2 linked regions of the Tribolium castaneum genome follow. The protein of the gene in region 2 interacts with the protein of the main gene of each other region in a pairwise test. Links are inferred from orthologs where the notes say so. Each region holds a gene or a part of one and is shown on either strand. Other genes may lie near its edges.

Region 1 (3,721 bases), on a different chromosome or scaffold from region 2:
TTTATTCCACATTCTCTTGTGTTCTTTTTCAAAACTCGACTGTAGTTTCGTTTAAAATTTTTTATTCTTATGTTTTTCGTTAGTATTGTTTCTGCACTTAACATTTAAAAACAAAATATTTGGAAAAATATTCTCTAAAAATTTTTTACGTGATATAATTAGGTTTTAAATATTTATGAAATTTCTATTTTTTGTGGTGGCGCCATCTCTAACTTTGCTGACGTCAGAACAAGTAAAACAAAGACAGAGTTAATCATTCCGTTTTGTTTCGGTCATAAAATGAATAAAAAACAGCGCAAATTAATCATTTATTCACGTTTTCACCAATTTCTCATATAAATCCACCATTTCCAGCAATTAAAAACAATTGAAAATGCAAAAAAAACAGCCGCCAACCTCTAAAAAACTGTTAGGCCAAAATCTAGTGTGTTTGAAAATTTTTATTTTTTGTGGTATTTAATGTAGTGGCGCCCTCTAGGTGAAACAAACGGCACAAAACCGTCTGGGGGACTTAGGTGGGAAGGTTGGCAGCGCAAACAGCGGGCGTTTTAAACAGGTGATAAAACTTTTAGTTGTTAAAAAAAATTAACTTAAGAGTTGTTCTGAACCAGAAAGTACTCGACGGATTTCAGTTTTAGTTGGCAGTACTGAATTTTCTGCCAACAAGCCAAGGATAAAAAATAGAAACAAACACTAGTAGAAAAACCTTTATTAGTGAAAATTTAATGAAAAATGCAAAAATGAGAATAAATAAACAGGTCACTTCTTGACCAACAGTGCCCTCAACCGATTCACAGGCCACTCCAAACTATCCACATATTTATTATACTCTGCATCAATAGCTGCCTTTTTGTCGATAGGTTCGGTCACAATTCCGGCCCGCTCCAAGTTACACAATCTCTTACTGCCCCGAGTCTCCTTCTACGAAAAAAACCCCAACTGTGAAAAAACCTAGGGACTTTTGCGCCTCACCTCAATCTCGTTGGCAATCCTGCTCCGAATCCCCTCCGTGAACTTGACATACTCCTTATACCCGTTTTTATGCGCAGTCAGACATTCTAAAATATCAAAAACGCGCTGCGCTTGTCGTTTCCCAATCTTATGTTTCTTCAAAAACTCGTTAATTTGCTTCAGGTTTTGTGTCGTGATGTTGATCCCTTTGCCCTCCAAATCCTCATAAATGTGCAAGCTGTCGCAAAAATCGCGTATTTTCTGGAACACCTCGGTCGGTTCTTCCACTAAAAACAAACAGTCGTACCAACTGGGCCATTACTACGTTACAGGAACCTGTAATATCGCCCGAGTCGGGCATTTGTTTCAAGTAATTGTAAACAGCTTTGTACAAATTCGTGCCGATTCCGCGCTTCTGGTGCGTGGGGAGCACGAAAAATTGGCTAATTCGGGGGCGCGTTAAGTTGGGGTAGAGGAAGAATTTGTAAACGGTGCAAAAACCGACTGGGGTGAAGTGCGACTCGGGGCCCTCTTCATAGACGTAGAAGATCACCCAGCGGGGGTCCTCCAGGTCTATGAAGTTGGCGCCGTCGATGAACCACACGATTAGCGTCTCGAAACGTTGGTGGAACTGGCGGAAGTCGGGGTTTTTCAGGTCGCAAACTGTCACTTTATACACATCTGGAAAAATCTAATTTGGTTTTTTGGACCGGGGGACTATAGATTAGGAGACGAAACGAGAGTTAAAATCGTGCATTATTATTATTACTAGTATTATTATTACTGGTACTGGCAATTTTTTATTGTTTTCATTATTGTCTTTAACTTTTCAATTTAAAACTCTGTTGCAATTCTACTAAAGACCGATTATACCGTTAAAAAAATAAACTGCGCCATCTGGTGACACTAATAAAAGTGCCCAAAATCGGGACATTTTATTTGTACGTCATTTCGCATCCTAACCTATACCAAACCGTATTTGGCCCAAATTCGGGGCAATTACTTTCAGAATCGGTGGAAAACGTGTCGATCACGTCCCCGAACATCAGACCGGGCTTTTCCTCGTCCAAATCGGCGAGAAAATCGCTCTTTTCAGTCCGGTAGTTTTCCGGCAGCCAGGGATTTAGCGCTTTCATGATATCATCGGCGTTTTCGTGTATTTTCCCCCCGGTTTGCACCTCAACGTAACACTTGGCCGAATTGTGCAAATAAAACAAATTTATGGCCAGTTTTTTGTACCCAAAAATCATCTCTCTGAAAAGTGAGGTTAGGTCTCTCCAACTCACTAAAACACCAAATTTACGTCTCCCCGAATATCTGGTGGGCCATGTCGGGCTTAAACGAGCTGCCCTTCCTCGGGGGGTCCTCCAGATCCTGCTTGTCTCGCACTGTAACCGCAATTAACGAAAAAAGCGCCAAAATTAAGGGGGCCCTCACCGGTCCGGAACGTGATCACGTTGAGGCTCAGCTTCTTGTACAAGACCATTTCGTCGTCTTCGCAGTTCGAGGAAACATCACTGTCTCCGTTTAGGTTGTTTTTAGCCATCTCGAATTTTTTGCCGTTTTTTTTCCGACAAAAAGTGACTGTGCCGTGATAAGAGGCGGCGTAAATGATACGTGACCACAAATTTCGAAATTGAAAACACTTAAAACAATTTTGAGGGCCTTTGGGGCCACATAACCGAACACAAGTTAACTGTGGTCAAGTCGGCTGGCGCGCGATTTTTTGCGCATGTCACGTAATGTGGCGGGAAATTTGAAAAAACCAGTGGCGTGTCGTGAGGAGGGGCGAAACGACGTTTCCATTCGTAAAGTGTAAAAATAAGCAGATTGGACTTTATTCAATCAATACATCTGCATATAAAAACGTACAATACTACAGGAAGTAACTACATGGTGAATACTTGCAAAGATATAACGCGATTTGCTTTACAATAAACACTTTAATAATAATATGATACATATTTGTCTCTTATGAAGAGCATGTACAATTTGAATAATTCTCATAAAAACGAAAAAAATGCAAATGATTTCGAAAATATCTCTATAACAAATATTTGCACTGCTTTATTTACAATAGAATTTCATATAACAAGTCACTGGGTTGTACTTGACATCAAAAAAGTAACATAACTACCAATTCAGTAACAAAAGTACAGTTAAAATTAGTAACTAGTCTAACCAGTCATGTTACAATCAAGTGAACTAGACTCTGCAACAGTACAAAAAGAAATTACTTAAATTATGATTATATTACAAATTATGTCAACTGAACCTAGCACGTAAGCTTCGAATTCTGTATTTTTAAATACATTACAATACTAAAAAAGCAACAACTGTATTGACGTATCTCACATGTAATGTAATGACAATCACAGACCTCGTAATACAAAATCCCAAGCTTTATCAAAAAAATGAACCGAAAAAAAAATTATCTCTTATGCCTGTCTCTAACCCTCTCCATGTCCACCCACTCGGGATCGTTCGGGTCCTCTTCGCCCAGCGCCGACTCGGTGGACTCGCTCCCGGGCGAGTCCACCTTCTCGTCCAAATAATCACAATCCTGCGCGCGATAATTCGTCTTAAACTGGTGATTTTCCGGCATACTTTTAAGCATCTTCTCGTACGTTTCGTCGTCCAATGGAAACGTTCGTGTGTCAAACGGCGCCACTTCGACATTTTCCGGCGTATTGTTCTCCTCTCGTGCCACAGTCGTCGGAACGACACGTGACTGCGAAATCGTCCGACGACGCATCGCACTGATGGAGGG
Region 2 (3,881 bases):
GAGGATCGTAATGTCGCAAAATACGAAGTCGTGGCCAAATACCAGGGCAAATTGTTTGTGTGTGAACAAGACCACAGCCCGTTTGACGTGGTGGCCTGGCACGGTAATTACGTGCCGTATAAGTACGACCTTGCCCGCTTTAATGTCATCAATTCGGTGTCTTTCGACCACTGTGACCCCTCGATTTTCACCGTCCTGACGTGTCAGTCTGAGAAAAAGGGCACGGCAATTGCCGATTTCGTGATTTTCCCGCCGCGTTGGTCCGTTCAGGAACATACGTTCAGGCCGCCTTACTACCACAGGAATTGCATGTCCGAGTTTATGGGGCTTATTTTCGGGGAGTATGAGGCGAAGAGAGGGAGTTTTAGGCCAGGAGGGGCCACTTTGCACAGTATTATGACTCCGCACGGGCCCGATTTTAATTGTTTTGAGGCGGCAAGTGTCGAGGTTTTGAAGCCGGCCAGAGTGGCTGATGGGACCCAGGCCTTCATGTTTGAGAGTTGTTTGGGGTTGGCTGTCACCAAGTGGGGGGCTAAGACGTGCCAGAAGCTGGACCCGGAGTACTACCAGTGCTGGCAAGGGCTCAAGAGCCACTTTACCGGCCCGAAATGAGATTTTTCAATAAATTACTACGTTTACAATTCGTGTTTTTGTAAATAAGCCTTTTTAATCCTGATTTATAAATCAGGAATTGAAGATAATTTTTTATGCAATTTCTATTCGACCTGTGTCATAAAATTTTTTTAATGAAACTTGGCGGAAATGTTGACTGTTAGCGGGTAATAAATGATTAAAATTCGAACGATTGTAAATAAAACAAGTGTTCTGGACAAAGTATTTATTTATTTGTAAAAAATGTTTAAAATATTGTGGATAACATAATGTTTCAGTTTGATAAACACAAATGGTCACACTTTCACTTAATTACTTCAGTAAAGGAAACGAGAACGTGGTATGCTTACAGGTAACACTAAAACTAAACATAAATAAAAAAACTAGACTAATTCGCTGGAGTTTCCATATCGGCCTGTTGCTCGGGCTCCTCATCGTTATAAATATTCTCGGCCATTTGCCACACTTGCATAATATTATCCTCAGACACGGAACAAATAACCCACGGTTCGTTGGGATTCCAACTAAAATCTAAGGAAAAAAAATTAAACGCTAATTACACTTTGATAAAAATTACGAAAACGTTAAGTAAATACGACTAAAGATTATTTACACAAAAAAAAAAAAATATCAAAAAAGATTATTAATTTACCTGAAATTTTGGCCGTGTGGCCCCCATGTATGAAGAGGAGCTCCGGAGGCCCATCCTCTGCATCCTCCGGACTTTGCTCCTCTCCGATTTTGCTCAAATCCCAGACATGCAGCCTGCGATCGGTCCCCGACGACGCCAGAATAGTCTCATTATGGGGGCTCCACTGCACTTGGAAAATCTCATCCTTGTGCGACTCAAAACTGTGCAATTTCAACTTAAGATTCCTCAAATCCCACAAAGCTACAGTCTTATCAGCGCTCCCAGTTGCAAGAATAAACTCCGAATAGGGGTTGAAACTGAGACAGTTAACCTCAGCAGTGTGTGCATCGACAGTGTGCGACGGTTTGCTCGTATTGTTACACCTAGTGTCCCAAATCATCAATTTCTGGTCGTCTGCGACCGAACCGAAGAGACTTTCGTGCAGAAGGTGCCAGGCGACGTCCTCCACCACGGCAGTGTGCCCCGTAAAAATGGTCTTCGCGTCTATAATTCGGTTCTCTTTCGGGGTCGCGTTAATGTCCCAGAGACAGATCGTGTGGTCATCGCTGGCCGAGAGCAAATAGCCGTTCAAGTTGGGGTTCCAGGACAGCCCGTAGCCCTCCTTCTGGTGCCCCCGGAGTCTCAGGTCCGGGTGGCACTCCCCGTTGGGGTCAGGCTTGCTGGGGTGCTTCGTATAGTCGAACACTAGCACGTCGCTTGAGGGGGTTTTTGTGGCTATAACGCACGGGTTCTGGGGCATGTAGCGAGCCCTGTTCACCTCTCCTTCGTGGTTGATTTTAATTTCAATCTCAATTTTCCCCGAAACTGAGCCAAAACCGCCAAACTCGCCCTTTTCGTTATCATAGTGCGAGGCATCGAACTGAGCGTCTTCGTTCGGGAGCTGGACGCTGGCGATCAGGAGGTGGTTTTGCTCGTCGGAGGTGTGAGTGCCGAGGATTAGGCGGTGGATGGAGTGGTCTTTGCCCTCGGGGCGCGTTACATCGGGCAGCCACTGGGCGGTTAAAGAGGGCCACTCGAGGGCATGTGTCATTACAAGGTCGTACAAAAAAGGGGTGTTTTTTTTCCAGATCTTGTACTCTTCGTTGATGACTCGCTCCTCGACCGCGTCGTCGAAGGTTTCTGTGTAAGATTTTTTGTGCAGTTGACCGGGTTTTAAGGTTACGTTCGCAAAGTTACAAAAAAAGCGTGATTTTGGCGAGGCAAACTAGAAAATACTTACCGGAGTCTCCCTTATCCCCCATTGTTACAACGAACACAAACGAATAATGTTAAAATTGATAAATTCAAGTAAAAATGAATGAGCCGTCCACTAAATATGACGCTAGCCCGCCAATTTGGAACAGTGGTGCCACAACGCCACAAGTCAGCAGATTCAAATTAAGCAAACCGTGGCCAAAATTTTGGCGGTGGTACGTTTTGATTTAGCTAACTCGATGCTTCATAGTCATGGTATTCCAATGTTTTATTAAAAAAATAGAAGGAAAAAATATATAATTGAGAGCCAACGTGGCAACAGGGAGTAAAAATTATGCGACTGAAAGCGATGAGCACGATTGTGTGTTGAACCGAAAACTTTAAAATTCACAATTGAATTAATTTTCAGTGATTTTTTTTAATATAACTTATAATCAGGTTGTAGAAAAAATAGAGTATGCAGCTTGAGTCTGGTTCACTAATTTTTCAGCTCAAGTTAACACTTTAGGATTTATTAAATAATGCACGTTTACTTACAGAGGTGGAGGTTAAAAAAAAACTCAGGTAACTTAAGAGGGTTTATTCAACGAAATATAAATGGAATCTCGGGCAAGATCACAATATTGAAGATAATCATTAAGGCACAAACTTTCAAAATTTAAAAAAGGGTTACTCAATATTAAAAAAATAATTAATTGCACCTAAAACGTAAAAATAAATAAAAATAAGAGCAATGTAAAAATGAATTAAGTAACTTGAGGAACAGGGCGATAAAAATTTATTTCGAAAAATTTGGGTAAAAAACTACGAACTCGAAGCTACACTAATATTACTAACACTCGTGGCGCGACTGCTCGGCCTCAAATCCACGTCTCTTTTAAAAACAGCGAACCCTTGATTAACCAATTCTTGTGCGATATCGACGTCCTTTTCACCGTTCACATCGAACAAATCAACACCGGGGACCGGAGAGCCCTCGCGCTTCGCCCTCGTCTTCTCCCTAACACAATATCCGTTAATTTTCGCCGACAGTTTCTTCCACTGCGCCACATGTGTCCACTCTTCGAATTTATCCACGGCTTCCACCGACCAACTCTCTCCCACGGGATCTAAAAACCCACTTACCCACCAAACGCCCAAAAAAATAAATAAATAATCGTACCAACTCGTGCTAGAAAACACTCAATTGCTTGAAAATGCAGTCGGAGGAAATCGGTCCTCAACTCGTACAATTCCTCAACGGGGACCAAATCCGTGTCCCCGTAATCAACATAGTAGAGTTCAGCTTGGGGCGGGTTATCGTCACTCAGACTGAGCACTTCAGCCCGGTACCATTTGCTGTCGTATTGGAACACAGCAGCGACAAGATCGCCTTTAGTCACTTTATTCAAAATGTGGGATTCGCGATTTTCCTGCTTGCGGT

What was found.
Region 1: the proteins of Caf1-55 (region 2) and Hat1 interact in a two-hybrid assay, tested with the Caenorhabditis elegans proteins (4 studies listed by BioGRID). The link is inferred for Tribolium castaneum from reciprocal best matches to the Caenorhabditis elegans genes lin-53 and hat-1.

What each region holds. Positions count from the first base shown.
Region 1 is NC_087400.1:2,898,044-2,901,764, reverse strand, and holds Hat1 (histone acetyltransferase type B catalytic subunit), read right to left. Parts: upstream 2,665-3,721; 5' UTR 2,498-2,664; coding exon 2,389-2,497; intron 2,340-2,388; coding exon 2,255-2,339; intron 2,206-2,254; coding exon 1,955-2,205; intron 1,633-1,954; coding exon 1,288-1,632; intron 1,239-1,287; coding exon 973-1,238; intron 922-972; coding exon 760-921; 3' UTR 695-759; downstream 1-694. Other genes in the region: nsl1 (KAT8 regulatory NSL complex subunit 1), read right to left, coding at 3,383-3,721.
Region 2 is NC_087399.1:662,013-665,893, forward strand, and holds Caf1-55 (histone-binding protein RBBP4), read right to left. Parts: upstream 2,644-3,881; 5' UTR 2,506-2,643; coding exon 2,484-2,505; intron 2,384-2,483; coding exon 1,265-2,383; intron 1,144-1,264; coding exon 1,001-1,143; 3' UTR 824-1,000; downstream 1-823. Other genes in the region: hgo (homogentisate 1,2-dioxygenase), read left to right, coding at 1-612; tudor and KH domain-containing protein homolog, read right to left, coding at 3,263-3,567, 3,621-3,881. UniProt on the Caenorhabditis elegans protein: Core histone-binding subunit that may target chromatin assembly factors, chromatin remodeling factors and histone deacetylases to their histone substrates in a manner that is regulated by nucleosomal DNA.